Sus scrofa: one gene and its partner. The protein of the gene in region 1 interacts with the protein of each later gene in a pairwise test. Links are inferred from orthologs where the notes say so. Each region holds a gene or a part of one and is shown on either strand. Other genes may lie near its edges.

What was found.
Region 2: the proteins of RCC1L (region 1) and NME6 interact in binary tests that used the Homo sapiens proteins (3 or more experiments, as listed by UniProt). The link is inferred for Sus scrofa from reciprocal best matches to the Homo sapiens genes RCC1L and NME6.

What each region holds. Positions count from the first base shown.
Region 1 is NC_010445.4:11,914,304-11,918,563, reverse strand, and holds the start of RCC1L (RCC1-like G exchanging factor-like protein), read right to left. Parts: upstream 3,025-4,260; 5' UTR 2,965-3,024; coding exon 2,623-2,964; intron 1-2,622. UniProt on the Homo sapiens protein: Guanine nucleotide exchange factor (GEF) for mitochondrial dynamin-related GTPase OPA1. Activates OPA1, by exchanging bound GDP for free GTP, and drives OPA1 and MFN1-dependent mitochondrial fusion. Plays an essential role in mitochondrial ribosome biogenesis.
Region 2 is NC_010455.5:31,050,206-31,054,656, reverse strand, and holds the start of NME6 (nucleoside diphosphate kinase 6), read left to right. Parts: upstream 1-1,371; 5' UTR 1,372-1,513; exon of another isoform or gene 1,514-2,086; intron 2,087-2,354; 5' UTR 2,355-2,361; coding exon 2,362-2,451; intron 2,452-4,274; coding exon 4,275-4,377; intron 4,378-4,451. UniProt on the Homo sapiens protein: Major role in the synthesis of nucleoside triphosphates other than ATP. The ATP gamma phosphate is transferred to the NDP beta phosphate via a ping-pong mechanism, using a phosphorylated active-site intermediate. Inhibitor of p53-induced apoptosis.

The DNA of each region.
Region 1 (4,260 bases):
GATCACCTAAATAGACACAGAAAGAGCACTTGACAAAATATAATGCCTATTCATGATTTTTAAAAAGAAACAAAACTCTCAACAAAGCACAACAAGAAAAGAACTTCAACTTGATAAAAGGCATCTATTAAAAACATGGAGTTCCGGTCATGGCTCAGTGGCTAACGAATCCGACTAGGAATCATGAGATTGCGGGTTCAATCCCTGGCCTTGCTCAGTGGGTCAAGGATCCAGCGTTGCCGTGAGCTGTGGTGTAGGTTGCAGACTCGGCTCAAATCTTGCTTGCTGTGGCTCTGGCATAGGCCAGCGGCTATGGCTCCGATTCGACTCCTGGCCTGGGGACCTCCATATGCCACAGGAGCGGCCCAAGAAATGGCAAAAAGACAAAAAAAGAAACTTAACAGCTAACATCATAATTTAATGGTGAAAGACTAAATACTATCTCGCTAATATCAGTAACAAGGCAAGGATACTGTGCAATTCAATTCAATGCTGTACACTCAGCAGTGCTATCAGGCAAGAAAAAGTTTCAATGGAAACGAAAATATAAAACTGTCTCTATTCACAGACAACCAGACGACATGATCCTGTATGTAGAATATCCTAAAGAATACACAAAAATCTATATAACTAATAAGCCAGTTCGATAAAGTCACAAAATATAAGGTCAATATACAATAACTAACTATTTCTATGTAAAAGCTATGAACACTTCAAAAATGAAAGAATGCAATTCTATTCAAAAGAGCAACCAAAAAGAATAAAATGCTTAGGAATAAATTTAACAGATGTGTAAGATCTGTACACCGTAAACTACAAAAAACATAGTTGAGAGAAATTAAAGACCTAATTGTCTTTTTTTTTTTTTTGTCTTTTCTAGGGCCAAACCCACGGCATATAGAGGTTCCCAGGCTAGGGGTCTAGTCGGAGCTGTAGCCGCCGGCCTACACCACAGCCACAGCCACGGATCCAAGCCACATCTGCGAGCTATACCACAGCTCACAGCTCACAGCAACGCCAGATTTTCAACCCACTGAGCAAGGCCAGGGATGGAACCTGCAACCTCATGGTTCCTAGTCAGATTTGTTAACCACTAAGCCACAACAGGAACTCCTTAAAAACCTAATTAAATGGGGAGACATTACATGTTCATAGATTAGAAGACACAAAATTGCTTAGATGGCATTTGTGTCCAAATCAACGTATAGATTCAATGTAATCGCTATCAAAATCTCAGTAGGTACTGTCGCAGAAATTAACAAGCTAGTCCTAAAATTTATATGGAAAAGCAAAACACCCAGAAGAGCCAAAATTTACCTTTCGCAATTTCAAAACTAGTTATAAAGCTACAGTAATCAAGAGTGTACTTTTAGCATAATGAGAAACATATAGATCAATGGATCAGAATTGAGAGTTCCAGAATAAATCCTTACATTTACAGTCATACTGATTTTCACAAAGGTGCCAAGACAATTCAGTAAGGAAATAATTTCAACTAATGATAATACTAGCCACATTCTACTCTCACTTCCACAGCACCCAAAAGTCAACTCGAATGACTAGCTTGTTAACCTAAATATAAGAACGAAAACTATGACGTTCCTAGACAATACCTTAGGAAAATTATCTTTGTAATCTTAGATTAGGCAAAGATTTCTCAGATATACCAAATATACGATTCACAGTAGAAAAACTTAACTGAATTTCATTAAAATTAAAAGCTTATGCTCTCCCAAGGGCAGTATTAAGAAATGAAAAAGAAAATCCATAGATTGGCAGAAAATATTTCCACCTTATATATATATATATATATAATATATATATATATATATATGACAAGGTACCTAATCCAGAATACATAAATAACTCTTACAACTCAAAATGAAGAAATCAAAACAACTTTTCAATCATCTGGAGCTTAAATTCCCTGTTTTTCTCGATCTACCCTTTTCATTAAAAAATCACTGGATATCCTTGAAAGAGAAGTCAGAAGCCAAACCGATCAAATTTGCTTCTTTTTCACCACCCATCAAGATGTCCACAACCACCCGAGGCAAGAATCTATCCTAAGCATCCATTTTTGCACTAATGGGTGCTGGCTGCCGAGACAAACTCCCGTCCCGCAACGATTCTTTGCATCACCTTTTCAAAACTGAGTAAACTCAGGGGCCTTCATCCTTCCCCTCATTCCTGTAAGCGCTCTAGTTTCCTTTCCAAGTAGTTCATCGACTCCAGCCAGCCACGTTTTCTCCGACCTCATAAAATCGTCTTTCCTAAAATCAGAACTTCTGCTGGAGCCTGGCCCGAGGGCGAATCCTAGTATACAAACTTCAACCAGCTGCGGGGCCACGGACCTTCCTCTCAACCTCTCTGAGCCTCCCTTTCCTCGCCCATAACTGTGCCACAAACCCGACTCCTGGGGTGATGCGCAAATGAGAGACAAAACACCTAGGACATTTCGCCACTCCCTCAACTTGGCAGCGCCCTAGGGCCTCCCCCCGCCCGCAGCCCGGTCGAGGATCTTTCTCCCCGAAGTCCGTCCACCCGTCGCCAAGTGCCTCGAGAGACGGCGGCGGAGACCCGAGGAGGAAACGGAGGAAGGGAGGGAGCTGCAGAGCGCACCTTTTGGTCCAGCTCCAGGCGGTAAGGTACACACTGGATCCTGCGGCGCGGCCGCAAGCCGGCGTGAGGATGGGGCCCAGAGCTGGGCAGCACGAAGGTGGGCACGCCCAGCGCCCCCGAGAAGCTGAAGCCCCACACGAAGATGCGGTCGGCGCGGGCCGCACGCTCGCCCACGTACTGGAACACCGGCGCCTCCGCCTCGGCCTCGGCCGCCTCGCGCCGACTCCGAGAGCGCCCGGCCGCCGTCCAGTGCCCGCGCCCCAGCCGCAGCCCCAGCCCCAGCCCCCGCCCGCTCAGCCAGTTCCCCAGCCGAGCCCTCGCCGCCAGCGCCACCAGCGCCATCCTCCGCTTCACGTTTCAGCCGCTCCTGGGCGCTGCCATATTGGTGACCCTTGACCCCAAGCCCCGGCGGAAGAACCCAGGGTCACGTTTACGAATGGGTGAAGGCAAAGACGCTGAGGGTAGCCAATGGCTCAAGGAGGCGAGAGGGCTGGGCGGAGCCTGTTAGTCCCCGATCCTGAGTGAGTCGACCTGGGGAACCCTTCCCGGCCCTGCCCACTTAGTTTGCAACTTTTCGCGGTGCTGCAGCAGCCCGCAGCCGGCCTGAACTCACTCTCCTTGCCGCACAGCGCACGTTTGCGGAGCACGCTGCTGGCTCTGGTGGGCACTTTCATTTTGCTTTTTTGGCAGTCGGCAGGAGTAAAATTTAAGGGGTTGCCTACTCTGTACGACTCCAGCGTAGTGCTCGCCCCCTACCCACGGTCCCTCGTCATTTCTTACCTGGCCGTGTTGCCTCTGTTCCCGCTCTCCCGCCGCTGGGTCAGTGCTGCAATCCCTGCTGTTTTCCACAGCATCACCTCTGCCCCTCAGCCCGTCACTCCCCTTAAGTCAGGTGGCTCTGCCTGTTAAACAGCTTAACAATAACCCACAACCTTCGGACCAACTCAGGGGGCTCTGCTTGTAATTTCTAAACCCCAGGGATTTTTCAGGTTTCCTCACGTTGCACACAGTGCCTCGAATGCCCTCCCCACTGCCCTCCTCTCACCGCAGATGCCTAGCAAATTCCTACTCACCTTCAAGGATCCAGCTGGAGCACCTTCTTCAAGGTTTCATAACGGCAGATTGTCCTCACCGGTTTAGTACTAGAGTTTAGCATGCAACGGAGGACGCCCTCATGAGCGATTTGGGAGTCTGAGCACCTGGGTTCCTGTGCTGGCTCTGCTACTGACCTGCTCCCTGATGTTAGGAGGTTGTCTCCCTTCTCTGGATCTCATCTCTAAAATGAGGAGGTTAAAAAAAAAGAAATGAAGTTTAAAAATAAATGAGCTGTGGAGTTCCCATTGTGGCTCAGTGGGTTAAGAACCCGACTAGTGTCCATGAGGATGCGGATGCTGTCCCTGGCCTCGATTAGTGGGGTTAAAGGATCCAGCATTGTCGTCAGCTGCGGTGTAGGTCACAGACGTGTCTTGGATCTGGTGTTGCTGTGGCTGTGGTGTAGGCCAGTGGCTACAGCTCCAATTCGACCTCTAGCCTGGGAACTTCCCTATGCTGCAGGTGCAGCTTAAAAAAGAAAAAGGAGGAGTTTCCGTCGTGGCGCAGTGGTTAACGAATCCGACTAGGAACCATGAGATTGCAGGT
Region 2 (4,451 bases), on another chromosome or scaffold:
TATTGTTTTAAGAGAGGCTTATAAGAGACTAGGTATTGGTCTTGGATAGTGCAGAGTTAGAAGGCAGATGCATTAAGTGACATTCTCCAACAGCTCCATCAGTATTAATTAAGCTGATGTTTGGTCTCCACCTACCCACCATTCCTCTATTTCTGTTCTGAGCCCAAGTTTAGGGGGAAAAAAAAAAAGGTGTTTTTTATTGAGTCTTCCCCTAAAATCACATCTGCTATTACTTTCATTATACAGGCTTATTTTTGAGGATAGTCAAAGCCACTATAAAATATGGAGATAAAGCCTTCTACAATGTTTGTAAGAGAGACACACAGAAAAGGTGAAATAATAACCACAGCCTAAAAATTGGCAAAATCCCTATATCCCAAAGGTATGTTAATGAAAATAAAAGTAGGAAACAAAGTTGGACCTTATGTATCTGAGAAAAAAGCTAAAACCAGCGGTCTGGTCAATGGGACACGGTAAGTTTACTCTCATCCCCTGAGGGCAGAAATGGACACGTGCCTTCTTCGCTAGCCAGAGGGTAAGACATGGACTTTTCTAAAGACACCCGTGGAAAGAAGCTGCAGAACTACAGAACGTCCTTCCAACATTCCAACAGTGCAACACCTGTACATGCAGGCACAAAGTCGGCTTAAACATTTTTTAATTGATAATACTTACCGCTTATTTTCACTCTTCTCAAATTTAGTGCTTCTCTCCAAGAAACAAAATTTACTACCGTTATTCAATCTGCCACTGTTCCCTTTCCATACATTAGACGATACACCATGAACACCTCTATTTCTCACCTCCTCGCCCTGGACTGCTTCAGCAAACACCAGGGTAACCCCACTCCAATCCTATCTCAAATTCCTTAGCGACATGTTCAAAGGCCTTAACGACTAGTTTCCCTCAAGACCTGCGAACATCCTTTCAGTCAAGAATCCTCCCTCACCAACCCCATATTGGGATTCTATGGCCCTTCCCGTCCACGTATCTCTCTGTGCTCAAGACTTCCAATGGCTGCAGTTTGCCCTCGAGATCCGGCGACCAAGTTCTTTGCCACCCATGTTTTTCCGACAAATACTGGGCACCAACCATGCGCCAGGCACTACCTTACACTAAAAATAAAACAGAGAGCGAGTTGGGCAACGCCACTCTGGAACGCCCATCCTGTCCTCCCCGTGCCACCTCCCCGCTCAGGGCTGCGGCCCTGGCCCTTCCTCCCGCTGGAGGGCGCCCGAGACAGCTAGGAAGAGCAGCTTCCGCCCGAGACGACTTCATTGCCTCATCCGGTACGGGGCAAGTGCAGTAGAGACACTTGGGCCACCTGGGGGCGGTCCTTGCCGCAGCAGGGCCTTCCAGACTGGCTGGCACATCGCCATACCTCACTCCAAGGGCGCTCGCGTCCTCACGGCAAGGACCCCACGGAGGGCTGCCCGGCCGAACGCCTGAAGGACCCCGCTTAGTCGGCAAGGCCAGCTATCGCAGTGCCTGGTGGCCGCGCGGGGAGGTCCAGGTGACTCGGACCCGAACTCCAGCTGGACTGGAACTCTGAATAGACCAGAATCTGGGGTGGCTTAGGCCTCGGCCGGTTCGCGTGGCTGCAGGCCTAGAGAAACGGAGGAGCAGAGAGGGAAGGAGGCGCTGCCAAAAGCTGAGGCTGGGAGCCTGCGGTATTGGAAGGCGGAGCCTCGGGTGTCGGTGGGAGGAGAAGGGCTGCAGGTTCCGGAGGCACTTGGGAGGACAAGGGGCGTGGCTGGCGCCCTCCGGGAAGCAGAGACCTAGGCACCCTTGTGGGGGCAAACGCCCAGGCAGCTTCTAAAATTTGTAATTGTCTAATGGCGCGAGTTTAAGTTGAGCGAGTTTCTCGACCTTTCAGCATTTGCTGTAAACCAAGAGCCAGGACAGGCATAATTTAGCTGGCCTTAGGACTGCCTCCCCAGAATAGCTCCCAGCACCCTGGCTTTGGAATAGGTGGATCAGATTCATTAATTAACAAATACTGTGGGAACAGTTTTTGTACCCTTGTAGCAAGGCTGTTTGGGAATGTAAATTATAAATTCTCTGATGGGAGTACTGGCAGAGACAGGTAGTGTTTAAATTTGAACTTCTGAATGGGTAACTCCTTCCTAGGTTTACAGTTGCACAAGCCAGATTATGAATTGCACAACTTGAATGGTCCCCCTACCACTCCCTTCTCTCCATCTCATGAGCCCAAATGAGCAATTAAATACTAAGTAACTGTCATCTGCTTTATGAGTTAGGAGTGAGAGCCCTGGTTGACTTAAAGGCTCCAGAGTGGGAAAGGTGGGGAATGCAGCACTGATGGGTCTCCAATCTGGCTCTCTTCATGGCAGGAGGGAGATGACTTCGATCTTGCGGAGCCCTCAGGCACTCCAGCTCACTCTGGCACTGATAAAGCCTGATGCAGTTGCTCACCCACTGATTCTAGAGGTAAGAACAAGTCCTAAGCCTCTACTCTGTGCCCTGGGCACTGCTTCTGTTTCAGGTGCTGGAGCGCCACTTGTGAAGACTGACAACACAGTTCTGTGCTAGATGGTGTGGAGGCAAAGCTAGATGCCATGGCCTCTTACACTACAGAGACTAAAAATCTGTTGGAGAATTGTGGCAGATATAAAATATAAGAGAGGATGCAATACAATAAGAACCAAACCTGAAGACAGTGTGTGTATATTAGTTCTCTACTGCTGCATAACAGATTACTTAGTAGCTTAAAATAACACTCATTATCTCACAGTTCTAGAATTTAGAGGTCCAGTAGGCTTGGCTGGGGGCTGGGTTCTCTCCTTAGGATCTCACAAAGCCAAAGTTTAGGTATCAGCTAACTGGGCCCTTATCTAAAGGGTCTAGGGAAGAATCCACTGCAAAATTCGTTCAGGTTGGCAAAATTTGGCTTCTGTGGTTATAGGACTGAGGTCCCCATGTCCTTGCTGGCCTTCAGGTGGGGACTACCCTGTTTTTAGAGACCCACATTCCTCATCACATGGCTCACTCTGTCTTCAAGAGAGCAACTGGCTGTTGCTTTTAATCTCTCTGACTTCTTTAGGCCCCAACCAGGTAAAACTCTGTGTTTTTTTGTTTGTTTGTTTGGTTGGTTAGGTTTGTTTTTTTTGTTTTTTTGTTTTTTCTTTGTCTTTTTAGGGCCGCACCCACTGCATATTGAGGTTCCCAGGGTAGGGGTCTAATTGGAGCTGTAGCCACTGACCCACATCAGAGCCACAGAAACACGGGATCTGAGCTGCGTCTGCGACCTACACCATAGTTCACAGCAATGCCGGATCCTTAACCCACTGAGCAAAGCCAGGGATTGAACCCTCGCCCTCATCGATGCTACTCGGGTTCACTAACTGCTCAGCCACAATGGGAACTCCCTAAAACTGCTTTTAAACAGCTCATGTGATTGATGAGGCCTATCTGGATAATCTCCCCCTTGATTAAAAAAAAGTCCCTTATAGTAACCTTAATTACACCTGCACATCCCTTTTGGTATGTAATGTAACATAATCACATTGCATCCTATTCACAGTCCTAGAGATTAGGGTGCAGAATCTTGGTGGGGCTCTGTGAGGGTCATTTTAGTATCCTGCCTACAATAGTTTGATAAGTATTGGTTGAGCAGCACTCTTAAGTAAGCTCAATGTGGTGAAAGGAGGCACCAGAGCAGCCAGGAGAGGTGGTGTGCAAGTATTGGGATTCAGCCAGGCTTTACAGGAAGGGTGGACTTTGATTAGTGCTGAGGCAGGAATGTGTGTGGTGGGTCTGAAGGCCACAGGCAGGCTGGGTTGATGGAACTAGAGAATTAGGAGGCAAAGACAAGGAGCGTGTGGCCTTGAGCACTGGGCTAAAGTGGTTATACCTCATCCCATGAAAAAAAGGAACCACTCAAAAGCTTCTGGCCAGAGTGTGACATATATAACTTACTGTTTTTAATCTGTCAAGTGTGATGGTTTGAAAAGAGTGGTAGAAACTCAAGGCAAGACTACTATCCAAGGCTCTTATGATGGTCTGAGTGGTGGATCCTGCAGGCTTAAGCTCAAGGGGCTGTAGGAATGGAAGGGCAGAGACAAGCTTCATGCCCTGGCTCTGTGGCCAAAGGTCTTCACCTCACCCGACATTCTTTTTCTTCCTACCCAACGAGGGACAGACCCTCAAGTCCTAGGCTTTGAAGGATCCTCATGGCTCTTTTGGTCAGCCTGGGTCTCCTGTTCACTAAGTTGGTCCCTTTGACTTTTATCCTTGGGGTGGTGTTTATCCAGGCTATTCATCAGCAGATTCTGAGCAACAAGTTCCTTATTGTACGAATGAGAGAACTTCTGTGGAGAAAAGAAGATTGCCAGAAGTTTTATCAAGAGCATGAAGGTAGGATCAACAGTCCTCTGAGTGGGAGGCGTCTCTATCCCAAGAGAGATTTTTCCTGGACACCCAACATCCAA